2 linked regions of the Coturnix japonica genome follow. The protein of the gene in region 1 interacts with the protein of each later gene in a pairwise test. Links are inferred from orthologs where the notes say so. Each region holds a gene or a part of one and is shown in the gene's direction. Other genes may lie near its edges. The genes, in order: C5H11orf49 and RAB29.

Region 1 (15,876 bases):
CCCGGCCTCGGGGCCGTGTGTGGCGGAGCGGGTGGGATGCTCGGTGCCCGCCTCAGCTCGGCCGGTGAGAGGGGGCTGCAGTCTCTGCTCGCTTCTTCAGTGTCAGAAAGGGTGCTGCTCTGCAGCTGCCAGCGGGTTGGAAGGTGGGCTTTTCCTCTGAAAGAAAGGTAATGTTTCCCGCTGATATTTTTATGCCACATAAAACAAGAACCTTTTATTTTACAAAGCAGCCACTCCCTTGTGGGCTGCATCCCATTGTGCTGGCTCTGGCAGTTAGTGTTTCTGCTCGGTGTTCCAGTAAACTAAAGAGCAAGGAGATTAGGTGTTATTGTGTCAAATGAAAGGTAATTATGAGGGAAATAAGTCAATATGATGTCACTTAATTGCTAAAGATGAACTGCAAGCTGCGAGCATTTGGAGTGCATTCAAATCAATGTTTTTGAAGTGATACTCTTCAGCCATTACCTTCTAGGCCTAAGAGGCTGTTTGCTAATAACTGTTATTAAGGTATACTTAATTTGCTGCGGCTTTGTTGTACAAGGAAAGGTAAGAAGTGGTGTGTATTGGTTTGTGTTACTTGTTTCAGCATGGTTTTGCTTTCTCTGGTAAGCCAGAACGTAACAGAGCTAGAGAAACATTGTACTGTCTAGTCAATGGAAAGCTACTGTTCCAGGGGAAGGCTGCAGCCGCTGTTTCTTCAGCCTAGGTTAGGGTCAATGAGTCAGGATCCGACTCCCCTTCCAGGGTGCCCCACAGCAATAAAGAGGGCTGAAGAGTTTAATCGAAGGGGTGATCTACATCCTCTTGGAGTAGAACCTCTGCATTTTTGCTACTAGGCTGCTGGTAGGTGCTTTGTACGCGCCTACGTACCCACACTGCCATCTGTGTTATAGAAACTCAAGGCAGAAAGTAGGAGTTTTAGCTCTCTGCACAGGGTGATTCTTGAGAGATTCATTTTGGTGAAGTCCTTATTATGGATTTCAACTTTGGCATTAGTTCAGGTATTTGAGAACAGTATTGCAGCATGCCATTTAGATACACCCTCCAATTGTGCGTCACCCTGTTATACTACATCAGCATTTTCAACTTATGCATTAATGGAGACACTCACTTTTCCACAGAATTGCTCTAGGCTGGAACTTGCAAAATTTCTTTTTTTCCCCCTTTTTAAAGCAAGCCAACTTGGTTTGGGGTTCATTTAATTGTTTTTTAATGGAATAGGTGCTTAACACTTACTTGTGTGAAACTTGTCATTTAGGACTGAATCAGTCAAAACAAGCTAGGAGACAGACTACCAATACTTCTTAAAGAAGAAATAACCAATGTTCTGTTTTACACCTTTAAGGGCTCTATGATTCTATGTCAGATTGTGAAAGAATTGCCTAAGAGCTTTTTTAGTTGATAGTGTAGGGAGGGAGTCCTGTTTAAATTGCAGTCTATACTAGAAAGCGTCTTCATGAGGCTGCTCCCAGATCCTACGGAATGAATTCTGTCCTCATAGTAGGAAATCAATAAAAAGTGTTTTCATAAGATATTTTGTTTGTTTTCTACATTGCCCTGGCACTCTGAAATCACTGTTATTTGGATTTGTCCTCTTCCGTACCTCTAACTCTTGACAATACAGCTGTCTGTTGTGGGGTTGGAAGAAATTGTGAAAAAAAGTTTCACATTCTGTAATTTCCTTCTGAAACTGTTTCCCCAAGCTGCCATATAAGATATTCTTTGAGTCTTCTAGATTGGATGGCACTCTTTCTTTCTTGACTTGAAATAAGCATACTTCACCTCTTTTCCTTTCTCAACACACAAAACAGGCCAAATGAAATGAGCAGCCAAAGTAGTATTTTGTGCTACTTGAGGTGTTTATCTTTTCTTTTTCCTTCCCTTTGTAAAGGTAATTCTGTCATGTCCTGTTTGGACACTAAGAGGACAATATATTCTGACATATTCTAGGGGAAGTAGAAGCAGTCGGGAGTTAAAATAAAAATGAACAATGAATCAGACATTCACTGAAGATGAAAAATAACTGCAAATTTTTGGTATTGGGAAGTGCAAATCTCATGCCATAGTGACTGTGAGACAATAAGTAGAAGAGCAGAGATGACCAGAATTCAGTGAATAGGAAAGGAGATGAGGTCTGCGAAATAGGCAGAAAGGGCTGCAGGGAAGAAGCTGTAGCAAGCAGGATGTTTAAAACTGTGTTTTCACTCACTAAACAATAGTTAGTGTTTGGGGATAGTGATGAAAATGTGTTTTACGTTTGATGGATGAGACTAGAACAACAGTAGGCAAAATAAAGCTTATTTGAGACACTTTTCCATGCCTTCCTCATTACAGTTTAATAACTGGTGATTGCTCCATTATTTATAACAGGCAACAGAGCACTCAGTTTATTGTTCTACTCATGCAGCTGTCTTCTGAAGCTTCAAGTTGTAGATTTCCCCATCTTCTCCATTAAAAAGAAAATGCTGAAGATTATTGCAAATTTCTGAAATTTTCCTCTGGAGCCTTCTTTTCTCTACTCCCTAATTCCAGGATGTTGGTTTTTTCCTTTCTTTGCCAGCATAAGACATGTAAGAACATAAATTTACCATTAGGTAAATGCCTTATTGGTAAAGCATGAGGCTATTAAGTGCCAGGAACACAGTCCTGTTTCCTCATCTCTCTTAGGCTTAATGAGTTGAAAGAGCATTCACGTTTTACAAAGCCAAGAGTAGCTTCCAGCAAAGTACTTCAGTCACACAGTGACCTTGCACAAAGCTGGGGTTTACCCTTTTCCTGAAGTACTGAGTTAGAAAGTCCAACTGCACCCTCAGCAAGTTTGCAGGTGATGCCAAGCTGTGTGGTACGGTTGATGCACCCAAGGCACAGGGATGGGATGCAATTCAGAGGGATCCAGAAAGGCTGGAGCAGTGGGCCCAGATGAACCTCATGAGTTCTAACAAATCCAGGTGCAAAGTCGCACCTGAGTTATGGCAATCCATATAACTATAAGCCTGGGGATGAAAGGATTATATACAGGCCTGCTGAAAAGGGCTCAAGGGTATTGGTGGATGGTAGTGATGTCAGTGATGTGTAGTTACAGCCCAGAAAGCCAACAATATCCTGGGCTGTATCAAAAGAAGTATAGCCAGAAGGCATCCACCTAGAGATCATCTAGAGATGATCCTACCCCTCTACTCTGCACTGATGAGACCATACCCAGAGAGCTGCATGGGGTTCTGAGCAGCCTGATGGAACCATGGGTGTTCCTGTTCTCCGGCATTGGACTGGACGGCTTTTAAACTCAACCCTTCCAGCTGTAAAAATTCTATGATTGTACAATTTTCTTTACCAACATGTTCAATGTTTAGGCTACTGTTACAATTGGAAAGACTAATGCAGTAGAAGGGCAATACAAGAAAGTAACAGCAAAGGGACCAGTGCAGATAGGATGGTATTTCACAGGAAAAGTAAAGGTACTCACCCATCTCCAAAGATTTAGGCTCACAGAAAGAACTCTACAAGGAAGAGATCTTCAGCCAGAGAACCTTCCCCAGTTGCAGTCAGCCCATAAATGAGGTCTAAGAGGGGTACAGCCAGGGTCCACCTCTTCTTGTCCCACAGTTGAATTGCCTTCACCTGTGCTCCCAGGGCTGACCAGGTCCTTTCCCCAGGTGCTCAATCAGTGTTTCAGGCTGTGACTGAACAGTTCCCATACAGCTATGCTTATATCTAGGGATCATGACCAATGCTGAATCTCTTCACAGTTGAGATATTTGCCAAACTTCTATGGAACACTCCATCTGAAAGATGTTCTGGTCTAAAAAGAGATAACAAATCATTTTTCTTTTCCCTTTCTTACTCTTCTGTATAAATAGGAGAGCTATAATGCGGAGGATGAATGACTTCCCTGCTGATAGATTTAAGTTTGTTTGTACGGATGATAAGTTCAAATCCTCTTAGATTCAGTATCATACTTTCTCCAAAAGATTGCAGCTTCAAACCAAACCTGCTGTTGTACTACAGGATATCTACCTTAGCTTGATAGGTATTACATGGAATCTCATTTTGAGTGAGGTAGATTTCCAGAACTGGAGAGCCTCTGTGTTTGAGTATGAATTGACAGGGAGCCTGTCAAAGGGTATCTAATGTCCTTGTAACAAGCAGTAGTGGTCATTACTTCCACAGTGTTAATAACATGCTGAATAAATTCAGATTGATTTATGTTTTAGGGGAAAAAAGCTCAACAATTGTGCAGTGAAGAGGTGGTGATGCCTAACATCTACACTGCATCTTGCAGGAGGTAGTTGCTGGAGGGATTTGGACGATGAAGGCAATCTGTGTGCGGTCTCAGGATGCTTGTGCAGTGAAAGACTATAATGTCATGGTTTGTTATTAATGTCTGATTAATTTTTTGAAAGAAATATCCAGTTGTGGTCACAGTAAAATTACAAACTGAAGCATTTCTCAGATTTTTTGGTTGAAAGTGATTTTAAATCCACGAATACACAGAATACAATGCGTTGTGTGGCCATTTAGCACACATTCCTGAACAGCTGTTCATGTCCCACTCATATCATAGTGTTATCTCTGGTATGGCTGGGTCTACTTGCACTTTGCTACGCATTCTGTCCTTTAATCTCAGTTTTTAGGGCTAATAGGAAATTATACTGATAAGCTGTGCAAAGCTGTGAGGAACTATAGCTGTACAGTGATTTTGCTCTTAGGTCGGTTGTTTTTATTTGCATACTTCTCTTGCTAAGTCCATTCCGTGAGGATATCTGAAGAAGAGAAAAAGAGCATCCTGAAAGGTTATCAATGCTGAAAAGTCTTTGGGAGCTGATGTTATTCTGTTTTTGTAGTTTATATGCATTATTATTACTCGTGCAATATTAGCAATAATTGTTTTTGTGTTACTGTAGTTGTCTCTGATGTGCTTTAATACAGTGGGGTCCTTAGTTCAGTGGGGTCCTTAGTTAAGCTCTGATTTAGAATAAAATCAGGAAGTGAATTTAGGAGCGTACAAAGTAGCAGCTAGAGATTTAAAAACACCAAAAATATTTCAAGTACATTAAATCTTGTAATGCTCTTGAACTTCTGATAACTGAAATGAATTAGAGCGGTAATTGCATCAAAGAGTGTATTTTGAGCACTTCAATTGAGGAGGAGGAAAATAATTAATAAAAATCAGTCTCATTATCCAGGAATTCCCACTCCTGATTTTTCATAACATTCTGCTATGCCAGGAATGAAGCAGCCAACAAAAAAACACTCGTGCATACAGTAGGTATTGCTCTGGTAGAGGGCTTGTGATCCTTTAGAAGGCATCTCTCATGACAAGCTGAGCAATAATGCAGCTAGCTGATTTGATAATTTGATAAATAAGACCCAACCTTTGCTCTTGGCTGTGGTTCTAATGCTGCTTTAAACAGAGCATTCCTGTTGACCTGTACTGATGTGTATTTTACCATCCTATATAAGTTTATTCCAGTCTGCTGGTATACTGATCTACAGGGTGAGGTTTTTTGTTGTTCTATTTTTGTCTGATTGTTTTATTGGCCTCTTAAAAAAGGCAAATCTCTTGGAAAAAAAAAGCTCCATCATGTTGCCATTGTGTGCTGAAAGGGATAACATGCAACTCAAGGGAATGGCTCTACAGCATATGTAAGTTCTTTATCCTCGCCCTCACAGCTCCTGGGCACTGCTGGTAATAAAAAAAATACAAATACACAGTATCGTTACATAAAGGTAGTATGTATTTTCTTTCTTCCTCCTGAATTTCTGACTTAGAGAATGTTAGTTCATACATTCCGTTTCACATAGTAGTATTTTCCTTTTCCTTCAAGTCTTCCCTCAAATGTCAGTGCCTGTTCTTATAATATTTTTAGTCAAACCTACAGATTACCAGGCCTGCTTGTTCTTGTAAGAAGAAACAAGTCATTCATTGGCTTACAAAAGGACTATTTTTACTACTATAATTTCAAATGTAAAAATAAATTGATATAATTTCAGTTAAAAGGAATCAGTTGGGGTTGCGTAAACTATTGTAGTGGAGAACGTAGGGATTGTGAACTGAGTGTGGGTGTATTTCTTTCTCTGTCTTTTACTTCTAAGCTGGAGGAAACTCATGTGACCCGATCAGGCCATGCTTGAATTGAACAGACAGCACTCAACCTTGAATTTGGTTTTGAGCCAAAGGGTATTAATTTCAGAATGTACTTTGTACCTTGAGCTAGTGAGGTGGGATGCTGGTGTGTGAGTGGAGTGGCAATGCTGTCAGTGCCATTCTCCCAAGTGCTGCAGTAGCTGACATGTTAGACGCATTGTAATCAGTTGTGCAGACTCTAGGTGTAATGTCACCACTAGCTGTTCATGATGAGAGTTAAACTATTCTGTGAAAGGACACCTACTTAACATCATGTCATTGGCTGCCAGAAGACTGCTCTGTGAACTTAATGCTGTTTTGTTTTTCTGTGAGAGGTTCCTGGCAGGCTTTAGGTTTGACAACAAGAAGTGGTACCTACCAAACGTGTGTGGCAGGCACACTTGATTCCATTCTAGGGTAGTTGCATGGGATTTCAAGGAAGAGTTTAGCAAAGGTGTTGCATGGTCCATTAGCTTGCATGATTTTATATGAGTAGGGAGGAGAGCTGTAGCTGGAATAAGCCACAAACAGTAAATGATGAGAATGATGTATGTGGAAGCTGCAGTAAACTGGAATTGTGTCAGAAAGACAATGAATAGAGAGATCAGGTTGTAATTGTAGCATTTTGTGAGCATTTGAACTTTCCATTCTAATTTGGACTTGCTGCTTTATTTCCAAGTTGGTCAAAAAAATAGGAGCAGCATCTATAACAATACAACATTAACTCCCTGGATTTTCAAAGAGTTTGAAACAGTATTAAAAGCTATGAATCATCATGTTTATTTTGCATTGGACCCTGTGGATTTTTAACTTTGCACTTACATAAATAGGTAATGTTGCCGTATAGTTCCAATGTTTGTTATGGAAAGTACCCTTTATATAAATTATGGCACTAATGTTTTGCTCTAACTAGACCCCTGGCATTTCATTTTGTCTCTCTGGCCTGCTAGAACCTGCCCATAAATTATTTTTTTTATGACTGTTCTGTGTAGGATAGAGTTGGTTGGGCTACAAAGCATAATGCTTGTACCACTCTGTGGAACTCGTCAGCCAGAAAACAGGAAGCCAAAGCTGGGATTTGATTTGGCAGCGTGAACCATGCTACCTGGAAAACAGCATAGCAGATGAAGTGTCAAGGAAAGAGGCTTCTTAAGTAGACTGCAAGTGCTGTTTTTCTTTTTAGCTTCTCTGCTCATAGTTTTCTTCCCTCCCCCACTTCCCTATCTGCCTTTTGGGAAATAAGGAGAGATAATCTTTACCAGGATCCTGAGACCACACAGCAAAAAGTTTTATTTATAATGTCCTTTTTTCAGTGACAGTATTCATCAGTAACCCATACATAATTGTGTACTATTTTAAGGGTGTCAGAAATATCTGAAATTCTGTGTTGAGCATTAATTTATCCTCCAGGAGCAGACTCAAAGGTATTTGTTAGGAGAGGTCAGTCTTAGCGTGATATGTAGCACTGTGGGGACCATACCTGTTTACTCCTTTAGGCGTTTAGGAGAGAGGTTAATAACTGTAAAGAAGTGGAATAGCAAAAGAAATGTGTGTTTCACTGGTAAGGGCTCTTCTACAACAGGGAGCATATACATCCCTAGAACATTTAGAAAACAGTTTTGCAGTTGAGTAGGAACATATTGTGGACTGAGAGGAGTGGAAGCCTGTTTGCTAGTGTGGTTTCCTGACTTAATCTGGTACTGCTGACAGCTCTAGAGGGGCCTGGGAAGATGTTTCTGGGTGCAAGATGGGCTGCATAATGAAGAGGGAAGAAGGATGGGCTGAAATAAAGTTACCCAGCTGCTGTTATCTTAAGACTGTGACTGAGCTGCACGACTCATTCTTCCCTCAGGGGACACAGGTGCGCAGAGCTATTTTTCTTTAATCACTCACATAAATTTATTCCTTTGCATTAAAATAATTAAATAAAGCTACGCCCTGTATCTTTTAGTGCCAGATAATATCTTTGAACCTTTGGCTCACCATTTTGCTATCAGCTGCAAGGTGTTTTCCAGGGTGTGCTTAACCAATTTTACCATTGTCCTAAAAAGTGTTCTAGTCAGAGAAATCCCCTGATAGCAATCAATGTTCATACATACTTTTAATCACTGTATCCACTGGGAATAATCATTTCCGGGCCTCTCTTGAAGCCCACCTGCCCCACACTAAGATGAAAGGGACTTCCATGTTGTGCATCAAGTGGCACAGGCTTGATGCCTACCAGGATATTAAGCACAAATTAAAATGGTTTGAAGAATATTGATGTGGGTCTGTGGTTGGCCAGTTGCTAGTTGAGGGGAGTGATGCTGCCAAGTCTGGAACAGATTGGCAAGGAGCAAGAACAGCCTTCGCCTTTCCTATATCCCCTAAGGGCCTTCTCCTGCTCTTTTTAGGACACGACACTACTTGCAAAGGTGCAGTACCATACGTGTTTAGGATGGAGGTGTGTGCTTTGGGAACAGGGCTTGTGTGCTTTCCAGGTTAGGAACAATTTTCCTGGGTTCGTTATGACTTGTTTTCTGATTGTTGAACTTGTAGGTTTGGAAAGTCTACTGCTTGTGCATCACGCCAGACTCAGCTCTTTGTTCCTCCGAGTTGATTTCCAGCCAAGAACATCAAAGGCACTCAGTGGCAAATCTGTACTGTTTCCTTCCTGGCAAATGCTTGATTTCTTCAGTCTGCCCCCTGCAGAAGCAGCAAAATTGTTTGTCTTGTACAGTCTTACTCAGAAGACTTGCTAGTGTGGTTGGGTACTGGCAGATCTGCCTCTTCTGAAACCTCCTCAGGTTTGGTTTAGGCAGTTACTGGGGACTAACTGTTGAGCAGTATAAATCTCTCCTGGTACTGAGACCTGTTCTCTACCTGCCACTCCAAGAACATTTATTGATGTTTGTGTGGAAACAGATGTAATTTTATTTACACCTTTAGAGAAAACTTTACAGAACAACCTTAAAGCTACTTGGCTTTGGTAAGCAGGGAGGGGCAGGGAACACCTAAATCTCTACAACGACCTCATTGATCTAGCATTGGTGATTTGAATACGAAATATGGCTGTGACTCAGAAGAGATGAAGACCTCCTCTTGGATAAGCATTTTCCAGCATGGCTGTCTCACAGCTCTATCTCTTCTTCCTTCACTTGCAGAATCTGAAAGGATTTGAAAAAGGGTCCACACTGTTAATGACTAACTGTGTAGCCAGGAAAGACAGCAGGAATTTAGGTCAGGAGTTCTGCTATCTGTATCTGGAAGAAAAAAAAACAACACTCTGGTTTCTAAATGAGGGAACAAATACTGATTGGTTTGTTTTGTAAGGCCCCAGCAAGGCTGGTCTGGCTCTGGGCTTTGCAGGCCCCTTGTATTCTAATTTCTGTCTCTTACTATCTTTTATTTGCAGCTCAAAGACATGTCCTCACGTACATGGAGGATGCAGTGAGCCAGCTGCTGGAGAACAGAGAAGATATTAGTCAGTATGGCATTGCCAGGTTCTTCACTGAATAGTAAGTACATCAGGATACTGCCAATAGGGCCAGCCTGAGGGAGGCTTTTGGAAACAGGCAGGGTACATGGAGAATGGAGCTGGACACATGCTGATTATGTTGTGAATGCTAGATTTCACTAGGTTAGCCAAGGGCTGCCTGAGTACGTCTCAGAAACGTGCATGGGTTTTCATACAGTTTGGTACCTCTCCTGTTACATTCATGTGAAGCGGCCACTTTGGGAAATGAAGCCTTTAAAAGCATATAGAAAACCAAACCCTGCTTGGCTTAATCAGAGCTGTTAGCCAGTTTTAAAAGCAGGGATTGTTTCTGGTTTCAGCAGCACTCATTCTTTTTTTGTTTGGATTCAAACTGTTTTGTCCCTTGTGTAATTGTTACTGTGTTGAATGCTTTAATAGAATGTCTCGTGCTCCCCCGCAACCTGCGTAAGTCCTTAAAAATGAAAATAATTATTAGCACGGATTATCTTTTCCTACTAATTTGGGAAGTTGTTGCTTTTATTTCTTCATTTTGGAGGGGGGAGTTGAAACTGTGCTGATCTCCAGTGTTGTTGATGTTGACTCAGCCAATCACTGTATGTTTCGCCAACTTGATGTCTTACACAATGCTTAAAAGTGTTCCGGCAGCTTCATTAAAAAATCTGTTGGTAATGGGTGTGCTTGCAGTTGGTGTGCTTCAGTCTGTCTTTTTATGCCCATTTGAAAGTCTGCTCATTTGCTTCCTTTCCTGTTAAATTTTTCTTGAGACTAATAGATGTGCAGAGCAATTTGCAGAAATATCCATACTACAGCTGTGGAAGAGGATTTCAGTGCTCAGGAGAAGCTTGCTTTCTCAGCTGATCAGAGTGATGTTGGGTTATTTTGTTTGTTTTTTACTGAGGTATGATCAGGTGGATCATCTGACCTCCAAATGAGATCTAACTTCCTACTTAAGCTGTCTGGACAGCTTAGGTTATATTTTCCAGCCCCATGTGTATTTCAAACTTAGAAATATCTGAGATTCTCTCTGGTAAATTAGTAACTAAAATAAGTTATGCAGCAAATCTGAGTGGGAATTCCTAAAGCTTTTTTATTATTATTATTATTGTTTTTTTAATATTGAGACAGAGTAGCAAGCTGCTCAAGGCCAGTGTGGTTTCAACCATGCTTGGCAGGGGAAATAAGATACAGGCCATCTTGCTACATCTGTTTATGTAACAGATCTTTTAGGTAGATGGCACTGTAAAAAGGAAATATGTTTTTTAGCTCTCACGAAAGTACTCATCTTTCACTTTAAAGAAATCATCCCAATGACAAAATGCAACACTTCTTTGTATAAATGCCTTTATTCTGTGGAATTAAGAAAAATCTAACAGGGAAATGACGTTGTCTTGTTCTACTGTTACTCTGTAGCTCAGCATAACTGGAGTAAAAATTGACTTTAAAAGACCTTCAGAACCTATTTTAGAATAGATAAAGTACTTGGTTTTACAAGGATATTTATGTACATGTGTATATGTGTACATGTATGTGTATGTAGCCTGAACACTAAATACATTCCATTTCTGTGGACTATCAAGGTATAAAGATTAAAAAATAAAAATCAGTGCATGGTATCTGGAATGCAACTCTTATTGCACAAACAATACACTTCCATGATGTGAGCAAGTTGCAGGGCTAGTAGTCATTGTTAGGTGATGGCTGTAGAGAATTAATCGGTGGCAGTAGTTATTAGGGATAAATAAAGATACAATCTTGTGTTCTTGATATGACTGGGAATCATGATGTACCATCTGATTCAGGTGACTTTCCACAGAAGTAAAACTGAGATTAATCAGCTGAACAAATAGTAAACAAGTGCTTAAAGATAAAGAGCATGACTGTAATGACCTCCACCCACATCAGGGTTTGTTTACCAGGACTGAAAGCAAGGTGACTGTGCAATACCCAGCTGGAATTATTGTATCTATCCAGACTGGATTTGTTTTACACCTGCTTTCAAGTGGACATCTCAGGATGTTTTCTAAACCTTTGTGGATATATGCTTCAAGAGTTAAATAGTGGTGAAAGAAGTCTTCCACACTTAAATTGAAACTGCCCACACCACTTCTCTGCAGTATTTCTTCCTTCATCATGGCCTGTTTTCTCTTCACTTCCTATTCCTGTTCTGCTTCTGAAAGAATACATGGTAATGCAAGATCATTATAACAAACAGAACTGTGAGCATAGAGCACAACCCTGTGATGGACTTAGGTGCTTATGTTTTTCCCAGTTACTTTCAAATACGTGAATTTCTAAAATGGCTCCATTCACACTGAGCATTTCATGGAGCTTTTTATTTCCTGAAAGATGGGAATAGAATATGTTTGTTTGTTTCACAAGTAATAAGGAACTTGTCACTCTTTTTTTTTTTTTTCCTTTTAGTGGTATGGGTAGAATTTAGCAGATGACATTGTGTCCATGACCCAAAGCACAAACAGCCTTAGTAATTTGCAGAGCTGTGAAACAATTATAATGTGAAATGTGTGAACCCATATTAGAAGTAGACAATAAATGATCAGAAATATGAATGTAGATAGAACAGGAAGTTTCCCAGAGCTTAGTGTTAAGCTCCTGCTGCCCAGTGGAACTGTACCCATCCACCTGACTGAACTCCACTGCTTTGTACTGCTCTGTCAAGCAAATCAATACAAATCTTCTGTAGTTCTGCCAAGATAATGAAGTTTGTGTGTCAAGTATGGTCTCTACATAGTAAATCTTTTTAGAGGGTACACTGTACAATAGCAGTGTTCCATGGACCCCTCTGACTGGATTCATCACAGAGGGGTGATCATGGCTACCTATCACGTATCCCTCATGCATTGCAGTGCCCTGCCTCACTGTGAGTCACTTGAAAACATTGTAGTAGTTATAACAGCTACTTTGTAGGTAATCATTAAGAAAAGATTCCGTTTTGGGGGAGATTTAGATTATCTGACTGAAATTTCAGAGTTGAAAAACTGTGTGGTCATACAGCTCTCTATGTATGGATCAAGCTGGAAATGTTTTGCAGGCAATAAGTTGTTCCTAGTTCAGGAAATGAAAACAGTTCTGTATTAAACTGCTATCCACAGCTGAGCACTAAGATTGCTGATTGTAGAGGGCTGACCCTCTTCTTTACAGCTCTCCTTCCAGAATATTTTTAGTCTTCAAGGATATTTTTTCTCCCACTTTATTCATTTGCTCATTTGTCCCAATCATGTGGACATCTGCTTTCAATCTTGCGAGTTCTCTGAGGCTTCTCTCATCTGACTCACTCCTGATTCTTACAAGAATAGGGCTCAATCACCCTTCTGCCAATTAATCCGCATCTTTTACCTAAAAGAGTAAAATCGTGCCTCTCTCAGGACTGGTTTGGATTTTATAGATTTGCTGAAATGCTACTGGTGTTTGTTCATTGCAAACCCAAGAAATCTCTGCTTTGCTTCTGAATCTCCATGAAATGCAGACTCTTGAAAGCCCTTTGTGTAATTACAGACTAATGCTGCTTTACTTCTTCCAACCTAAACTCTGAGCCAGCGTATCTTAAAGGGACACGTTCCTCCTATACATTATTTATCATCCTGTTTTCTTGATTGTTCCTGTACTGAAGAAAAACAGGGCCCCTGTGCTAATGCATTTGATCACTCAGCGGGAATGTGCGTTGTGTTCTACTTTAAATTTTCTGAGATCTTAAAGGGAAGCTGTGTGCTTATTTCACTTTAGCTGGAAGAAACAGCAAAAACTGTCCTTGACCAAAAAACTTTTAGTAATTTTAGTTGTTTGGTTTTTTTTTCTATGGCAATAGTTGGCTTGAAACTTTCTCAGTTTGCAGATAGATACCCCACTCAGTTCAAGGCTCTTTTAAAAGGTTATTTTTTGTTTTGTTTTGTTTTTCATGTACTTCTCCCAGAGCACTTCTTGTTTTCCCTTGTTTATAGTGAAATGTCTTCCCATCCATGTGCCAGTTGCAGGATGACTGAGAAAGACATCTTGCTGTTTGCATGCAGATGCATCGCCACCACCACTGGGCTCTGTGCTTACTGACTGATGTCCAAGATCCCCTTTTTCTGTAAGGGATATTTCATCCAGGTCTAACTTGAAGTATCCCTGCTGGATCTTGTTCACATTTGCGTGCTTTCTGATGACAGTTTTGATAATATCTATTTAAGAAGTTACCTGCAGTGTGCTTGTTTGTTGGGAATGGTGGTTAGATGTTGCATTTAGGTCCTTTAGAATAGATATTTAGTTTAAAATGCTGGACTAAACTTTTTATGCAGAGGAATGCTTATTTAATTCAGAGTAAAAGGATTGGTAGTGCTGTATAGCTTGAGATCATTGGATAGAGAGTATTGAGAAGTATTTGCTTATAGTAAAGAAGGTACCTCATTTTGTCCTGCTCTCTAGATTGGCTGGAACTATTCATTCAACTTGCTCCTTAGGGACTATTGTGATACTGCTCTTTTGGCTTAATCTAGCAATAGCAGTGACACCAACTTGTTCAGTCTTGTACTTCCACGTTAAGTTACCTAGATAAATCTGTAGGGGAAACAATGTCCTCTTGTTTAAAATGGTCTCTGTACCCTTGGGGAATGGAAGAGGCAGAAGGGAAGGGCCAGAAATGGGACAGATGGATGCCTGTGAGAAATAAGCCACTCATTGGAGGCAATGCTGAATGACAACTGGAAATAAGCTGAATTATCCTCTTATAAAGAGGAGAGATTCTTAGAGCTATCTTAGAGCCTTTTTTTTTTCTTTTTTTTTTTTATCTCTCTGTGTGTGTAGGTCTTATCATCATCATCTTGCTGTCATCTGCACTGTGTCTTTCCTCTTTTCACAGTAACTTGTTCTGTCTTGTTTGCAAGGATAGTATGAGCTTGTCAAGACAGAAATTATATTGTACTGCATGTACTTTACAGCATCCACCACTGTAGAACATTTACAACTGTACAAAGCATGGAGGCATAAACAACAGGAATAGTGAGAAGGTCCTTAGGGCTTTGACGAGTTGTAGTGTATCCCCTTTTTGAGAGACAGAGACTAATTGAGTGTCATCAGCTGAATTTCTTGATAAGAATCGGGGGGAAGGTGATGTGTGTGTTTTTTTCTTTTTTCCCTATTTCTCTTCTCTCTTCTCTTTTCAGAAACTTGTATCTAGGAAGCAAAAATTCTTTCAGATACTTACAGCAAATGTTGATGTGCTCTTTAATACTATTTTTGCAATAGATGTTACATTTCACATGTTCTTCAAATCCTGTCAGAACTTATGAAGTTGTTTTGCTTGGGAAAGAATCAAAATGATCACATTCAGTGCAAGACTACTGTGAGCGTGTGATAGGTATGAATTTGCCGCTGTCAATGGCCAAGCTGTGGAGGAGTTCTTTGGGTTGAGAATCTCAGCTGGGATGACAGGAGCTTGATGGCTCCTGACAGTCTCTTACTTGGGATTCCTTGATCCCATAAGAGTGCTGTCTGTGTCTCCTTTACTCTTCAGTTATCAGAAGAGAGAGGATAAATATGTGCATTCTGAGAGACAGTGCTCGTGCCAGCAACTCTGAGGAGATTTTGCAGCTAATGTGAAAAAGTTACTCAGAAAGACATTTTGAATGTCTTTTTCTGGAGAACAGAAGGATTTACAGGGCTGAGTTTGGTGATAAATCTTTCTGGGGATCCTATAATAGTTGCATAATTCTACACTTACAGATGTGTGGCTAACAGACACAAAGCCCTTCCATTGAGGTCGATTTGTTGCTTTCCAACCTTGTTCCTATAGAGAAGTATCAGAATAGGAAAGTCTTTCCTTTGTAAACTAAGTTTCTGGCCCATAGCAGAAATGGGATTTCAGTACCACCTGCCTGCAGTGTAAGGGGTGTACATTTTGTATGATCATTTGTTATTTTAAATTGGATGAATTTTGTACAGAGCCTGTAGACGACCTGTAGCTTTTTTGTTTGTTTGTTTTTGTTTTTAAATAGCAGAAGCAGCATTTATATCTTCTTCATACCAGCAGGTTCTGCGAAGTCTTCCTTTTCCCAGAGCTGTTTCTTTGTAACAAACATTGCAACAAGTCCTAGCCTGACAAATATGTTGATTGGCTGCCATTGAGTAAACTGCTGGGAAAAAAAAAATGCATATGTTAACAGGAATGACACGCTCATTCTCACCACAGTTTGTATATGTTGATATGTTGCAAATACATTAGAAAATGTATTGATTCCCTCCCCTCTCCCCCCCTCCCCCTCACACACACACATAGTTT
Region 2 (16,674 bases), on another chromosome or scaffold:
GAGAGCCTGCAGAGGGTTGTACAGCAAAGGGTGAGATAGAAGAGAGCTTGCAGAGAGTTGTCAGGTGGATTGACAGCCTATTCAAGTTAATGGAGAGGAATGGCAGGGCGTTTTTCTTGCTAGAACTCAGTTTGATTCCCACGTAACACTGAGCTCCTTGTGAGAAATGGAGACAGGCTCTGTTAGCTCCTCAGAACAGTGTCTTAGTCCAGCTGTAAATGAATTGCTTTGTGTTTAAATGTTTCTGTAGCACAGCAGTCTCCCTGTAGCTGAGCAGCGCTGGAGAGAGGCATCTTAACAGGGACAGTAATACTCCTTTATCTGTAAAGCATCTACTTGAAAGTGACAGCAAGTGACAGCCTGATGTTGCTGTGGGTCCTGTGGTGAGCGTATAGCTTTAAATCTTACATCTACAAGGTGTTAGCTACCTGCTGCTGAGTGTTTACTGTTTCTGAGCTGGGTAGTGCTGGAAGAGAGCCCTTGCAGTGAGAGCCTGGGCTCAGCCTTGGCATTGCAGATGGAGAATTGTCTGTCTGGATAGCAGCAGCAAGCACAGCTAGCAGAATTGCTGCTTGTTGTGCTCCCTTTCCTCTTCCTGGTTGCTGCAGGAGAAAGCATAGAGAAGAGCTGAAAAATTCTCTGTATGCTCACTGCTCTGGCTCCTCTTTCTTCCATCTGAAGCAGTGGGTTGATGCCAGCTGTGCCTCTTTGCTCTCAGTACCTTCTAACTCACTGAACCAGTGGCACCTGGGCATGAATTACCCTTGGCTTGGCCCCAGCACTGCCAGGGACCACCTCCACCTGGGCACAGCTTCCCTTGGTGCTGATGTCTTCTGTCCAGGTGTTACTGGAGAGAACAAAGCTGCTGTGCTCCTGCACAGGGGCTTGCAGGGTCAGGCTGAGCACTTCAGCCTGTGGCAGGCTGAGCTTTGTTTGCTTCTTCATTCTCAGAAACAAATCCCTTTGTTTTATTCATTCCCTATTGTTCAGATCATGTCAGAATCCTCGCTGACCCAAACACAGGCCATTCTCCCTCTTGGCCTTGACTTGGCCAGCTTTCAGAGCACGCTTTGAGCATGGACTGATCAGGGTGAGTCCTTCACCCCAACAGGAACGAAGGCTGTGCTGCCTATGTGCAAGTCTCCCAGCCTGGCACACCACTCCCTTGTATCAATGCATGATGGGGTCTGACAGCCTCTTTAGTTCTCCCTTCTTTCCCATGGGGAGTGGGCTCTCCTTTGGGCAGCGCTTCACGATGCCATTCTCGTGCTCGCTCTGCAGGAAAACAGTCTGGAAGGATTTCTCAGATTGTGGGTTTCTAATTAGTGCTGCATTAAGTCACCTCAGAAAGTCCCTTCCACAATTAAGAAGTAAAACTCTCCCATTAAGTCAAAGGATTAACATCCTGTTGCCATTGACTACAGCTAGGTTATGTTAATCCCAACCTAATTGCCATGTGGCAGGAATGTTAAGGTCAGGCTTCGTATGGAGCTCAAATTCCTCTGCTGGATGTGGTGGGTGCAGCTCTACAGCCAAGACTGTTTTTCTCCATTCTCTCTTTCCCTCCCCTTAAACCAAGCAGAAGAATTCACCCTGGAGATGGGCATGTCTCAGAGCTGGTGGACGTGGCCTGGCAGCTCTCTGAAGTGTAGATGCAATGAGAAGTGTGAAGGTTGGCTGATCATAGATTTCTTTCTTTGTGTGGACCAGGAAAGAAACCTGAGAGGCAGGAATTGCTGCTCTATTGTTTGTTAGAAGTCTGACACTTTCAGCCAGTGACTCCATCATGCAACTACTTCATATTCCTTAAGCCTTTCCCTTATGATTTCATAGTGACAAACTTGTTTCTCCCTCACATTCATCAGCTTAGAATGTTACAAGATTGCATGCAGGCACCATCTCTCTGCCTGTCCTTTCCAACTGTGAATACCAGAAGGTGTTGGGGAGAGCAGATCTCCTGTGTTCTCCATAAGCTGCAACCTGCAGGGATTCTGCTGGGTTTTGTTTGGATTGTATGCCAAGAAATTCAAGCAGCTTTCCTTCTGTTCTGGTTATTCTGATTAGCATCTCCCGTAGCGATGCCAGATGACCCGTGTGCCATGGCTGCTTCCTGCTACTCAGTAGGTCTCCACGTGGCATTAGCCTTGTTTACTCAACTTTTATCCCCAGCTGTAGTTCCTGCTGCCAGCTCCTTGTGCCCACGTGGTGCTGCTCTGGCCTTGCCCCGTGTCAGAGCTGGGGGCACTGATAGCTGACCTGGGATCTATGCAACCCCTGTTTCCCTCCTGGCTGGCTAAAATGAGGGGCATTGTGACCCAGCTGGGCCTGGGCCAGACTTGGCTTCATCACCACTGAAGTGGATTCAAGCAGCAGTGTGTGGCTCTGTGTGAGGGCAAAGTGTATCTTGTTGCTTTTACTGGATTTTCATCAGAATTCCTATTGCTCCCTTCAAAATTCCTTCTATCCTGCTCTGCTTTTGCTGCATAGGAGTGTCAGCCCATTCCTGTTGACAGGGCATCGAAGCTCAAACTGGGAACAGCTTTGGTGTGCTGGGCTATAAAGCCAGGCTAACTGTTGGAAGAGCAAAGCCATCCATCTTTTAAGGTTCTAATGATGCTGTGATGTCTTCTTGCAGGCTAATATTGGCCAAATGGACACACCCAAAGAGCTCTGGAAGATGATAACAGGGAACATGGCACTGATACAGGTAAGAAAATGGGAAAAAAAACATGGGGATGTTAGTAGTTGTTGAAGTCCAACTTGAAGAGGTGTCAGAAGGCTTGAATGTCTTTTCTTGGGTATTGACTGTCGGTATTGCATGTCTAAGGGGGAAACAAATGGCACCTTATTATCCCATGGTCACATTACCATTGCAGTTTGCCTTGAAGGTTGAACTTCATGTACCATTTTGCCTCAGTCTTCTTGGTGTTCATCTCACTTTCATTTTCAGGTTCAGGCTACCGTGGTTGGCTTCCTGGCCTCGATTGCAGCAGTGATATTTGGATGGATTCCAGATGGGCACTTCAGCCTTGACCATGCTGTCCTGCTCTGTGCCAGCAGCGTGGCTACTGCTTTCATTGCTTCCCTTGTCCTGGGTAGGATATCTATCATGTACATTCTTCATGCACCTCTTCCTGACATGCTGGGCTCTCCTTGCCTTCATCCTAATTTCTTCCTCTTTTATTTTGCTGTAGGCATGATCATGATTGGAGTCATCATTGGATCCAGGAAGATGGGAATCAATCCTGATAACGTAGCCACACCAATTGCTGCCAGTCTGGGGGATCTCATCACCCTGGCTCTGCTTTCAGGAATCAGCTGGGGCTTGTACAAAGAGCTGGGTGAGCAGCAACAAAAGGCTTTTGTCTCTCCCTGGTCCTTGTGTCTGCTGCAGCATTTCCCTTGTGTTTCACCCTGTTCCTTTACCCTTAATCCTCTTGGGGCTTCCAAGTGCTAGGAGCTTGGTAGTGGCTAAAACAATGGGGGAAGGCAGCTTTGGTTGTAGTCTTTTATACTGTCAGCACCAGCTGGGGGTCCTCAGTGCAGAGCTGCAGCTGTGTGCTATGGATTTCCTCCTCCCTGGTGGCTGGGATGCAGAGGATGTGACTCAGCCAGGTTCACTCAAAGGTGAAGCAGCTCTGGGAGGTCTTGCCCAGGAGTGGGAAGTAGGAAGGAGCAGTTGGGAAACTAAAGAGGTTTCATTCAGCAGGTGCATCAGGAGGAAATGTTGGGTCTTGTTTGTATGTTTCTGACTCTGGGGATGGCAGCTCTCTGCTGGCAGGGCTGGTGAGCTCAGCTGAAGTAGCATCACAGCTCTCTGCTGCAGGATGTGTCCTTGACCTGTTGCCTTTGCTTATTTCCCCCTCAGGGAGCAAAGCATACGTGAATCCTTTGGTGTGTGCCTTCTTCATAGCCCTGCTGCCCATCTGGATCATCATTGCCAAGAAGAACGCAGCGACTCGGGAGGTGCTGTACTCTGGCTGGGAGCCAGTCATTATTGCAATGGCAATTAGCAGGTAGGAAGGTGTGCAAGAGTTCTTCTCCTTGAAACACAGACACAAAACTCACCTTTTTTCCCCCCAGCCCTTCCAACCTTTTCACGCTTGACAGATTCCAAAAGAAAATGGCGATTCAAACTTCTCCTTCCACAGCGGCCTCTGCCAGGAAACTGGAGGTCACGTTGTGTTTTCCAGTCAAAGACACTGGGATTGAGGCCCAGGGGCATTGAGCACCTGACTGCTGGAATCCAAGGCCTCAGCACGTGGTTATTGCACGCGTTAGTGGGTGGATACATCACCCAGTGCACACGCTGCAGCAGGGAGGACTTGCAGTGCTCTGTGTGTGCTGCCCGATGGGCTTTCAGCACTGACCTCTTCATTCTTCTCTCTGCAGCGTTGGGGGTTTAATTTTGGACAGGACGGTCTCAGATCCGAACTTTGCTGGGATGGCTGTCTTCACCCCTGTTATTAATGGTGAGTTCTTTTCCATGGTGATGTTGCAGCTCTGATGGTTCTTGGCCTCTGCCTCAGTGTAGGAAGGTTAAGGAGGCTAATTCTGCTAGAGCACCAGTGAGATGAGATCAAACCCAACCTTTACAGCAGCACCTCCTGGTGCCAGCCCCTTCAGGAGAGGGTAACAGGTTTAGGGGAGGCCATTGCATGAGAGAAACTCCAAATCGGAGCCACAACAAGAGCTGTTTGTTATCCACTTCCTTCTGGCTCATGGAAGACCCCTGATCCAAGATACGAGCCCTGCAGCTCTTGGTAACATAAAGATCTGGGTTTGCAACTCAAGTCGGGAAATCTTTGGTTTGTTCTGGAATGAAGCTTTGACCTCCATTCTGCCTAATGAACCAAGGGAGTTCTGTTTGCACTCATTCTCAGCCTTGCAATAAATTGAGCTAATTCTGCAGCAGCTCATCTATGGGTTGGCAAGTTCAGAGTTTCCTTGTGCTTCAGGCAAAAACCAGCAGCTTTAAACTTCCCTTATTGTGCTCTCCTTATCTGCAGGTGTGGGTGGCAACCTGGTGGCAGTGCAGGCGAGTCGCATCTCCACTTACCTGCACATGAGTGGGATGCCTGGAGAGAGCCCTGAAACAACCCCTCGCAAATGCCCCAGCCCTTGCAGCACTTTCTTCAGCTCAGGTACTCAAATTAAGGCTTGGAATGTATTGAGTTCTGCAAGCAGCAGTTGCTGCAAATGGCTGGCTGAGCTCGGCTGAGGCCGTCACTGGAGCACTGTCACAGGAAATGGTGGCTGAGGCTCAGAGGCAGCTGTCAGCTCGTGGATGCCTGCTCTTTTGGCCTGCCCTGCCCTCTAGAGACCAGTGGACCTTTAGCAAAGCTGATATGCAAAGAGGACACATCCCTGCTGGATTAGGAAAGCACGTTGCCCAAGTTCTGTGCCCTAAGTGTGTAATGCTGTAATTCCTTCACCCAGCAAATCTTTTCCAGATGTTCAGGATACCTAAACCTGCCTTGAAGCTGCTCAAATGTTGAGGGTCTGCTGGGCCTATAGAGCTACAATTAGAGAAAATTAACTTGCAAATGCTTCTTAGCCCTGTTATTTGTAGCAGTGAACAGCCGAACCTGCATTCCTACATAGTGTGTGGAGAGGTGGTCATATTCCAGGCTGCCTGGGGGAGGTTTGATACTCCATAGCCTTGGTTCTGGCCTTCTGAGATCCGAGGTGCCCCCAGCTGTAAGTAGGCTGCACAGTTGCTGTGTTCCAATCCCACTGATTCCTGAACTCCACATTTGTTTCCCAACAGATGTGAATTCCCGCTCTGCTCGTGTGCTCTTCCTTCTAGTCGTGCCTGGACACCTGGTTTTCCTTTACACCATCAGCTCCATGCAAGGTGGACACACTACGCTCACCCCCATTTTCATTGTTTTCTATATGACGGCTGCACTCCTCCAGGTGAGCTGAGGCCCCTCCAGGGGCTGCAACTGCTCAGGCTGCAGTAAGGGATGCTGCCATGCCATCCACAGCACTGATATGAAGGAGGTGGGGGGAACATTGCGCTCTGGTGGCTTCAGCTGCTCTTTATCCCTGGGATAAAGATGTTGCTGACCCTTCCTAAGAGTCCTCTGTGCTTCTGAGTCCTCTCTTTTGCCCCATATCTCTGAGTTTGTTCTTGTTAGATCTTAAGATGGAGATGAAAAATATAGACTTGCTGGTGTTTGGGTATCAGTGCACTGAGCCTTTATGCTTGAACGTGCTGGGGATGCATTGAAGGGAAGGAGGGGCTGCAGAGGTACTGCATGAGGAGAGGGATGGCAGAGGTTGGGGCTGTGGCTGATGTGGCTCTTTTCTGCCTCCCTCCCAGGTTCTCATTCTGCTGTACATCGCTGACTGGATGGTGCACTGGATGTGGGGCAGGGACCTCGATCCTGACAACTTCTCCATCCCTTACTTGACAGCGCTGGGCGACCTGATTGGAACAGGTCTCCTTGCTCTCAGCTTTCATGTCCTATGGCTTATTGGTGACCGGGACTCCGATGTGGGGGATTAGCTCTCCCTGCCACCCCTCCTCTCTGCTCTCTTCCATTCATTTTTGTCATGATTGTTTTTCTTCCACTCTTGCTCCCCTTCCTCCCCCCATCCCTTACCCTGTCTCTCACGAGACTTCATCTTTGATACAGGATTCTCATTATTTTCAATGGGAATTTTATGTGGTTTCTATTTCAAGCCAAGTTTGTACAGAAAATAAATCTAGTTTTAGGAAGGACGCGGGAGTGTAATGAGACAATCACTAAGTGCAATTTCCTAGCAGTTGTCTGACCAGTGTTCCAGGGGAGCTGCCCATCAGTCGATGGAGCACACAGGAGCCCCCCCTGTCCCAGCTTCTGGAGGTGAAGGGCTGCTTTGTTCGCTTCATAAGCGTTTTAAATGCTGGAGATGAAGTTAAGATGGATGTTGCTGAGAGGGCACCTGCTAGCAAAGTGCAGCCTTGTGGGTGAGGACATGGGGATCTCCTGTTTTCTCTGTCCTGTGACCCTCCTCCCTCGTGTTTTCTCCCTGCACCCCCTCACCTGTGCTTTGCTCCCAAAACATGCAGCTCTCTGGTCCAGAGTTGATCCACTTTTGTGCATTCAGGATTGCTTCCAGCTGCAGCTGGGCAGGAGCTGCTCAGTACCTTCCCTTGCTGAGTATGAAACTCGGGAGCATCATTGCTGCTGCTGTCTCTTAGAAGATGCCATCTGTGTTCAGCCTTTGGCTTTCCCTGTATGCGTAGGAGGAAGCAGGAAAACAGGTCAGCAGCACAGCCTGACTTGTGCAGCCATGCACTGTCAGCGCAGCACTCTATGTGGCTCTCAGCAGAGCACCCTGCTTGCTTCAAGCTGCACTTGCAGCCTGGGGTTGGTGACAGCCCAGCATGCCAGCAGAGGGGCTGAGCACTGTGAGCCTTGTTTCCCTCCTGCTTTTTGTGTTGCCCAGCTGGGAGGTGGCCAGGAAAACCTGCCGTTCCTCCACCTGTGCTCCCCGGGGGGATTCTCATGCAGCAGCATAATGAGAGAAAACCAGTTCTGGTTGTGTGACTGAGGCGTTTGTAATACAATCACCTTCCTGGGTGCTGTCAGAGCTTTTTACTTTTCCCATTTGGATATAAATCAATTCAGTGAGCTGAGCACAGTTTATTTAAGCGAGTCTTATTGACTTGGAAGCTTCACTCAATGATGTGCTCAGCAGGCTCTGATGCAAACTGCATGCATGGGAGAGAGCTCCTAATGTTGGTAGGGGTGGGGATCATAGTGTCCCATGGGACCCAGTTTTGGTGCTGCAGTGCCCAAAGCACAGGGAGATGCCCTTAAAGGACCAGAGCTCACACTGCAGCCCTGTGCCTTTTGTGCTGCTGCATTTCCTCTTTGCCTGCAGATCCAGGGCCATCACCTGAGAGCTGCAGGATCTGGGGTCACCTACAGGCTGCTGCTTTTCTTCTTCTGTCTTGAATGGCTTCAGTTCCTCCCTTAGGTTACCTTCAGCATTTCTGGCACAAAGAGGCAATGCTCCCCTCCTCACCTTGCTGATGTGAGGCTCGCCTTCCCCCTCTCCATCTCTGTGCTGTCCCCTTAGTGGCAGTAGCTCTGACCCTCCTTCTGTCTCCTGTAGTTGACTTTGGCTGCTCGCAGGTCTGATTCAGCCACAGCTCTGCACGAAAACACAAAGGAAAACCAAAACATCAGAACAACCAACCAAACTCATACCCCAAAGCAAGAAGTCTGAGCCTGGGGGCTCCTCCAGCATCCTCTGCTCTCACCTCCTATCCCTGCCTGATGCTGAGGGGTGGGATGTGAGATTTCCTTCTGCTGCCATGTTTGTGTATGGCCGTGCCATTACTGCTCTGTGCTGTGATGCCAGGGTTTGGTTCCCTGAGAAAGCAGTGGTGTCAGAGGGAGGATCTCCCATGGTCTCCTATGGGTGCTGAGGTGCTGTGGGGTGAATGGGATGGGGCAGGATCTCATTTAGCATCTCAGCACATGGACAGCCAAAAGCTTTACCCATCACTTGCACTCGGTTGCACAGCCCACCTTACAGCTGACTGCAAATGAGAAACGCCGGGTTGAGCTCTCTTTGTATTAAAGAAAAAACAAAGCAAAGACTTGTCTTAATTATTTATAGCTACTGTAACTGGATTGACGGATGTCAACTGCTGATAAATTATATTTCCTTAAATAAAGATGACATTTATTTATGCGGACTTGGGTGCCCTTCTTTCTTCCATCTCAGGAGCAGCTTAGAAGCACACAGTTTTGCAGCACTGATAACAGCCCTGGGGGGGGGAGGGGGGGGGTTGGTTCTGTGCTCCTATGGACTGAATGGGAGCAGCATAGAGCTGTGTATGGGGGGGTCAGGAAGCAATAAGGGCTGTCCTATGGGGGTGGTTAGACAGTAGGGCAGGCTTGGTGGGATGCCCTCTGTGCCGTTCCATTCTGTGCTATTCTATCCCGTTCTATTCTATCCTGTCGTCTCCCGTTCTGTTCCATGCGGCTCTATTCCATTCTGTCCCGTTCTATTCCATCCCATTCCGTTCTGTCCCGTTCTATTCCACCCCATTCCGTTCTATTCCGATCTTTCCCCGCCCCAACAAGCTCCGGAACTGCGCTGTTCCGCCTGACCATCACGTGATCGCTGCACCCGAGGGTGGGGGGAGGGAGGAGGGGGTGGGTTTTGGGGGGGGGGGGGATAGAAAGATGGGGCAGAGGGACCGAATGTTTAAAGTGCTGGTGGTCGGGGATGCTACGGTGGGTAAAACATCGCTGGTGCAGCGCTACGCCAACGACAGCTTCAACCGGCACTACAAATCTACTGTGGGAGGTGAGCACAGCCTTGAGGGGGGGGTTGGGATGGGTGAGCTCGGTGGTTCCTTGTGTAACGTGGATGTAAATGAAGCTGTAAAGAGTTGGGGGGGGGGGGGGTTCTGATGATTTAATCCTTAAAGGAGTTTCTTTTCCTATGGGGGTTCACAGTGGACTTTGCACTGAAGGTGGTCCAGTGGTCTGAGTCGGAGACGGTGCGGCTTCAGCTGTGGGACATTGCAGGTATGTTCATATAGAGCCCTAAAGTGCATCCAGGTGGGGATGAGGCTCCATCCATCCATGTGTTGGGATGGGTGGGATTTTAGGGTGCAGAGCAGGTTGGGATGCAGGGCTTTGGGTTTGGGTGTCTGGGATCTTCATAAAGAAAACAGGAAGGAGAAGTTTGCAGGGAAGGGATTGCAGCAAAGAAGCAGATTTCAGTTTCAGTGCTGAGAAGTGCATTAAAAATCAAAGGGTCCTGAAAAGATATTTGGGAAGATAAAGCAGAATCCCTCACCCCATGCAGTGCTCAGTGGGGGCTGCATAAATGCTTTCTCATTATGGTGCACCTCTGTTTCCTAAATGGAGTTTGGAGCTGAGGAAGCAAAGTCCTGCTGTGGGCACTTATTTGGTTGAGTAAGTCTTAAAAATGGGAACTTAAAAATGGGGATTTTTGTCTTTTTTTTGATCCTGAAGGGCAGGAACGCTTCACATCCATGACCCGGCTGTACTACAGGGAGGCATCAGCCTGTATCATCATGTTTGATGTCACCAATGTCAGCACCTTCAGCAACAGCCAGAAGTGGAAGCAGGACTTGGACAGCAAGCTGACGCTTCCAGATGGGAGCCCTGTGCCGTGCCTGCTGCTGGCCAACAAGGTGAGCACAGACAGGGCCACCAACCTCACACTGAATACCAGCCCAGGGCCCCATCCAACATGGCCTTGAACACCTCCAGAAGAACCTTGCCCTGAGAGCTCTGTGTCAGGTTGGGATTGAGGAGATTCAAAGCTCTCCTCCTACTGCCCAACACTGCCCAACAGTTCCCCTCCCAGCTTGGGAATGGAAAGGTTGAGCCTCACCTGGCTGACTCCTGTTTTACAGTGTGACCTTTCCCCGTGGGCAGTGACAAGAGAAGAAGTGGATCGTTTCAGCAAAGAAAATGGCTTTTCTGGTTGGGTGGAAACATCCGTCAAGGAGAACAAGAACATTAACGAGTCTATGAGGTAGGAACAGCAATTGGGGCACACTGCAAGAGTTAATTCCCTCCTTCAGACAGTGCTGGCTGAGGTAAGGGGAGATGCTGTCATCAAGTAACAGATAGCAGCAATAACATGCAAGTGAATCTCCTGAAGGGAAACTGAATTCAGAGAGGTCAGACGCTGTGCTGCCCTTGGTCAAGCAGCTTGTACCCAGGAAGCTGATCCTCTGCTCCTTAAAGCTCTGGAGTTTTGTGTCCAACCAGGAGTTGTTGCTTTGGTTCTGTTGTTGTTCTGTTTTGTTTTGTTCTTCTCTGTGCTCCAATGCCCTAATTCACATCTATTTGTCTTCCAGAGTCCTGATTGAGAAGATGATGTCCTCATCCACTGGTGATGGAAGTTCTGCTTCTTCCTGGAGGGGGGATTATATTAATATCAAAGAGACGTCCCCGCCGGGCTGGGCGTGCTGCTGATGCACTGACTGCTCCATCTGCTTCTGTTTTCTACCCCTTTTTTTGTCTGTTTTCAAAGATAGTGAACTGTCCTCTCTTTACATTCATACTCACTAAGCATTGCTGCAATGGCTTGGAAGGAGGAATGGAAAGAGTGAGGAAAGGAGCCCTCTTTCTTCCAGCACAGCAGCAGTGGGAGCACGGCACAGTCTGTGCTCAAGCACATGGCTGGGATTCATCTTTTAAAACACTGAGCACTTTTCTTCATCTTCTCCTATATGACAGCCTGTGTCATGCAGGGTGAAGGACGTGGAACGTGTATTTTTAATGCTGTTGCACCTTTGGTACCTTTTATCCCCCAAGACCTGCACCTGATCCACAGAGGCAACCATTCCAGAGTGCTGCAGTAACCCTCATTTGATGCGCATGAAGTTGAATCGTTCTCTCTGCTCCTGTGGGTTCCTGGGGTGAGATTACAGCAAACCCTTCATTTTGTGCTCTGGAACTTTACACCTCTGTCTGCCTGTTGCTGGAGACCAACACATCTCAGCACTGTCATCCCATGTCCTTAAGGTGTGGATCTGAGATGGAGCACAGCCCTAAATCATGTGTGTGCTGACTGCGGAGTTGTCAGCGTTGCCCAGTTGCCTTCTGTTCCTTCACTCTTACCCTCTGTCTAGCACAATCCCATGTGTTCTCTTCCACTGCTGCTTTATTAGGACACTGGGAGCTGAATGAGGAATGGGTTGTAAACTCCTTTGTGTGCCAGAACAACAGTTCCTTTCACTTTTAGCACACCCTGCGTCCTACCATCTCACTAAGCTTTGCAATTGCTGCTGCATCACCTTCCCACCATTACAGTGCAGTGACTTTGGTGGCAGGCTTTGGTGCTGGAAGCCCACTGCTGGTTTAGTGCTTTAAGGGGCAAGCAAAGACTTTGCAGGGCAAAAGGAAATGAAGAAATCTGCTCCCCAGCTGCTTTTTTTGTGCCTGCTTTTCCTAATGTATCCCCCAGGTGTGCCTAGCTATGAATGGCTCTTGCCAACCACAAACTGTAAGAACACATTAGAGTTATCTTGGAGGAGCTATAAGGAAGGCCAGTCTGGAAGGCTGCAGTTATGCAGCACTGTGGGCTCTTGTCATCATCCTGCTGTGCTATAGAGTTGTGTCCTGCCTGTGTTGAGGTTAGGGTTTAAACAAGTGCTCTTCAATGATGTTTTCTCTCATAGTTTACATCTCTGTGTGCCAAAAGATTAAAAGGCAGAAAAACTTTCCCTTAAGAACATCCATCATCTGTGGATGCAGAGTAAGAACAAGAACTGATTGCCTTTTGTTATCTGGGGTTGAGAAAGATAAGCTGTGAGGAAGGGCTACAAAACCTCGGCCTATGTTATGTTCCAAATATCCAGGCTAAGATTCTGTTGTGTAAATATTGCCAAATTCAGCCTTATAAGCACTTAAATATACCTTTCCCTGTGCCTTCGGGTTAACTGGAGAAACACACGAAGTGTGTAGGGGTGGTTAGGAGCAAAATTGAACTGTCTTGTTGTGTTTTAATTCCTAAACATGGCAGGGAAAAGAGAAAAAAGGGTCTGATTTTTAGAAGGATCTGTCATGAAACTGTAAAGACTTGTGTATTATTTATTGATTGCTGTCTAATTGAGCAAAGGCCAGGAGTTAGACCTGCCCATACAGGTGAAGGGGATGAGGCTTGCAGTGGAGGTCCCTGCCCAGGACCAACTAATGCAGCCACGAAAGCTTGGAACTGAGCAAGAACTGCACAGCTGTGGTTTCCATGGCCTGTACTTTCCATGGCCATACTTTCTGTACATCACTTGGATACGTACCAGTGCCTTTTTAGTATCCGGACCTCTTGATTTTCCCTAAGTGCCTCTTAGAAACAAGGAAAAGCCGAAGGAAGATCTCTTCTGATTTTCTTATTTCTGTTCTGCTGTTCCACCTGCTTTGAAAATGATCTTTGGTTTTTCCTTCCTGCAGTGCCTGCTTTGACATTGTACTCTATGTAATTCCAGGCAATCCATGCCTATTTCACTCTATTCCACGTGTTTCTCGTTGCTTAACTCTTTAAATCTATGGTCACAGGTCTCAAAAGAGACATTTAGTTACATATTTAATATGTTGATGACTGCAATCTGTGGATCCACATAGAAATGTATACTGGAATAGAATCAATGAGGTCAAAATTGAGTTTTGGTTTTAAAACAGCTTGTAGTTATGCAGAAGTATTTGAGAACAGGGTTCTCCTTACTGTAACACTGCAGTATTATCATGTTTATACAAAGAGAAGAAACTGCTGGGAGGTTTTCTCCCTATCAAACTGTAAATGAATGCAATATAGCAAAGGTCTGACATAAAAGAGTTTGACATTGCTGGTGTAGACGTTGTTTTCCTGTCTCAAGAGTCCTAAGAAATGGGTTCGTGAGATCAAAACAGAAACAGTTTTGCTGCCAAGAACAGGAGGTGTTATAAAGCAACCAGTGTGGACTGCCCTGTGTTGCCAGCAAAACAGATTAGATCTTTTTTCTCTGGAAAATCTCGTTGTCTTCATTACCGTCGTGTTATTGACCTACAAGTGGGACATAAGCACGCCAAACTTTCACATCTGCCAGGCTGTCATAGTGGGTTTTAATCCAATACATCCAGCTAAGAGGAGGAAGAAAAGAATCCCTTGATGTGGCTGTTTGTTAATAGGCCTTGCTCCTTCTGGCTCATTAGCTCACACAGTGAGCTCTGAATGCCCCTCTTTCTTTCCCTGATCAGCTTGATTTTCATGAGTATTGACTCCCACGATGGACGGGGCACATATGAACCGATCAGGGATGATTGCAAAGGGGGCAAATGAAGCTCATGCAAGGAATTAAATGATTCTAAGGACTCTTAGCATTAAGTGAAAGCTGGATCTGAGGAGCTGAGTCCCTTCAGTGTACGATGGACTGGGCACGTATGAACTGATCATTGTAAAGGGGGCAAACGAAGCTCATACAAGGAATTAAATGATTCTAAAGACTCTTAGCATTAAGTGAAAGCTGGATCTGAAGTGCTGAGTGTACAACCAAACACCTCCAGCTGCTCCAGGAGCTGCCACGTTAGCAATGCTTGGATGGAGGCCCTCACAACCTTCCAACCCCACCATATAATGCAATGTAGATATATCCTATTTCACCACAGCACAAAGCAGCTCCTTTTCCAACCCCGAATCCCCTCAGGGTTGTGTTTGCGGTTCCCTCACGTTAGATCCCTCAGTGTGAGGCCCCAGGGCACACTTACATGACAAAGGCCGTTCCCTGCTCTAACCGAGGGGCTTTAAGCTGAAGAGCCGGGCCTTGTTGTAGGACCGAGGGCCTCATTATAAGAGCCGACATCAGGCCCTGGATGTGCGGGATCCTGTGGAGGCCGCTGCGGGGCGGCGCGGCGCTTCCCCGCCTTTTCCCTCCAACAGGCGAATCTGCCGATGGCTCGCCTAGTTGTTTGAGCTTATCCCTGCCGATCGCTCCCCGGTTGTTTGAGCTCATGTAAAAATTCAGGCTCGGTGTCTAAAGTGGAGGTGTGTGGATATGTGGGTAACACGGCACCGGGGAGCGGCACACGGAGCGACGGAACCGGCGGCGAATCTGCCGCTTGCGCCTAACCCGCTCTGTGACTCAGAGCATGCGGGCCGCCCTCACCCCCCTTCCCCGCGAGGCGAGTGGGCGGGACCTTCACCCGTGATGGTTCGAACTGACCAATGAAACGCCTCCATTCTCCCCCATCAACCAATCAGCGTGGCGGGAGGTGTTGCCAGCGGGGTAGGCCGCACCGCCCCCCTCTCGCATCCTCAGAGCGGGGCGAACGCGACCATTTTGCGGGGGGGAATCGGTGCGGTGGGGTCGGGTTGAGCTGAGCGGGGCCGGGGGGCTCCAGGCCCACGTACAGTGAACGTGGACCCTCCCACGGGTGGGCTCGGGCCGGAGGCTGCGGCCCTGAAGGGGCTGAGAGACTCGGCTTGAAGCGCTTGGGCCCAGCTGTGTGGGGAGGGGGGGAGAACAGGAGGCTCCGAAGCTTGTTGTTTGATTAGCGGGGTTTATTCTTCTCTTTCATCCCTTCGTTCTGCTGGACGTGTCGGCCTGACCGGGCCTGAAGCAGAGGGGAAAATGTCCAGGCCTGTCAGGTGAGTCCTTGGAGGAGGGAGTGGAGGCCGCGATCTCGCCTTAAGGCCCGGCCTTAGAGCTGGGTAGGCCTTCAATGTAGGCCCTAAGCCTGGGGTAGGTGGGAGGCCTGGCCATATGTATGTATGTATGTATGTGTGGTGGAGGGGGGCTGCTGAGTCGTGTAACCCCGTGTTTTACGCGTGCACGATGTATTTTGAATCCATTTTTAATTGCAGGGGTTATACAGGCCTCGATACGAGCTGTGTGTGTGTGTATGGGGAGAAGAAAGGGGGCGGGGAGCGCCGTTATGTTGCGTGGAGCTTCGAGCACGGACCCGCGTGGGGTAGAGGAAAGAGGCGCCATTTCCGAGCATTGGAGCTCACTTGGGGGAGGGGGGCGGCGGAGGGGAGCGGGGCCGTGCGGGGGAGCGGAGCAGAACCGCGCTCAATGGGGGCGGAGCCGTAAAGAGCCACCCCCGCTTAGAGTACGCCCCGCCCGGGTCCGATGTGAGCTTTAAGAAAGCCGCCTTGCGTTGGAAGGAGAGGGTTGTTTTGTGCTTGTGGCTCGTAGTTGAAATCGAGGTAAGGTGTCTCCTCGCGTGTGTTTTTTGGCTGCTCTGATGTGTTCGGTTTTGCAGTCTCAAGGGGGCTTAAGTAAGAATTCAGCCTGGAGAAGAGGAGGCTCAGAGGAGACCTTCTAGCTCTCTATAACTTCCTGAAGAGGGGTTGTAGTGAGCTCCTCTTCTCTCGTGTAATCAGTGATAGAACTAGAGGGAATGGTTTTAAGCTGCACCAGATTCAGGCTGGACATTAGGAAGTATTACTGTTTGGAAAGAGTAGTCAGGCATTGGAATGCACTGCACAGGGAGGTGGTGGAGTCACCAACCATGGGAGTGTCCATGGGATGTGGTGCTGAGGAATATGATTTAGCCTGGAAGTATTGGGAATGGTTGGACTAGATGATCTTCTAGGTCTTTTCTAACCTTGATAATTCTGTGGTTCTGTAATTGCTGTGCTTTTTTGTCTCGTGTTAGCCTGATCTGGGATATGGGATAGCCTGATATTGGATAACCTCATTTGTTTTCATAGAATCATTAAGGCTGGAATAGACCTCTAAGGCCATCAGGCCCAACTGTGTTTTATTTTGGAATAATCATTATATAATTATGGCAGTCCTAGGAGTTATTTTATATGGGGGGGCTGGAATTAGATCACCTTAAAGGTCCCCTCCATCCCCAACCATGCTGTGAATGTAGGCCATAAACTACTTATAAAAGGTAACACCTATAAGTTTGCATTTATATTTCATATCCCTAATATGTGAGAGTTTACAAAACAGAGTAGGAATACGGCATGAGACCAGGAATGTTTGCCACACTGATCCGTGAAACAGTTGTTGTTGCAGCTGGTTGGTTGGTTTATCTTTGATCAGCAGTGCATGGCTGCCTGCAAAAGGAAAGGGAGAAGAGCTCAGAGCTCCATTCCCAGGCATGGCCTCAGGTCTGAGAGGTGATGAGCAGGGTTAACACCTTGCCCTGCAGCACCAGTTTGTGGGTTTTTGCAGGTAAATGGACTTGT

Evidence for each region.
Region 2: the proteins of C5H11orf49 (region 1) and RAB29 interact in a two-hybrid assay, tested with the Homo sapiens proteins (2 studies listed by BioGRID and IntAct). The two-hybrid records come from large-scale screens. The link is inferred for Coturnix japonica from reciprocal best matches to the Homo sapiens genes CSTPP1 and RAB29.

Annotation. Positions count from the first base shown.
Region 1 is NC_029520.1:20,779,340-20,795,215, reverse strand, and holds part of C5H11orf49 (UPF0705 protein C11orf49 homolog), read left to right. Parts: exon of another isoform or gene 1-167; intron 168-9,518; coding exon 9,519-9,621; intron 9,622-15,876. UniProt on the Homo sapiens protein: Regulator of the tubulin polyglutamylase complex (TPGC) that controls cytoskeletal organization, nuclear shape, and cilium disassembly by balancing microtubule and actin assembly.
Region 2 is NC_029541.1:2,553,757-2,570,430, reverse strand, and holds RAB29 (ras-related protein Rab-7L1), read left to right. Parts: upstream 1-9,170; 5' UTR 9,171-9,194; coding exon 9,195-9,318; intron 9,319-9,470; coding exon 9,471-9,542; intron 9,543-9,995; coding exon 9,996-10,177; intron 10,178-10,402; coding exon 10,403-10,524; intron 10,525-10,852; coding exon 10,853-10,970; 3' UTR 10,971-13,339; downstream 13,340-16,674. Other genes in the region: SLC41A1 (solute carrier family 41 member 1), read left to right, coding at 2,636-2,707, 2,951-3,095, 3,195-3,341, 3,869-4,016, 4,393-4,472, 5,010-5,144, 5,771-5,919, 6,329-6,514; NUCKS1 (nuclear ubiquitous casein and cyclin-dependent kinase substrate 1), read left to right, coding at 15,101-15,117. UniProt on the Homo sapiens protein: The small GTPases Rab are key regulators in vesicle trafficking. Essential for maintaining the integrity of the endosome-trans-Golgi network structure.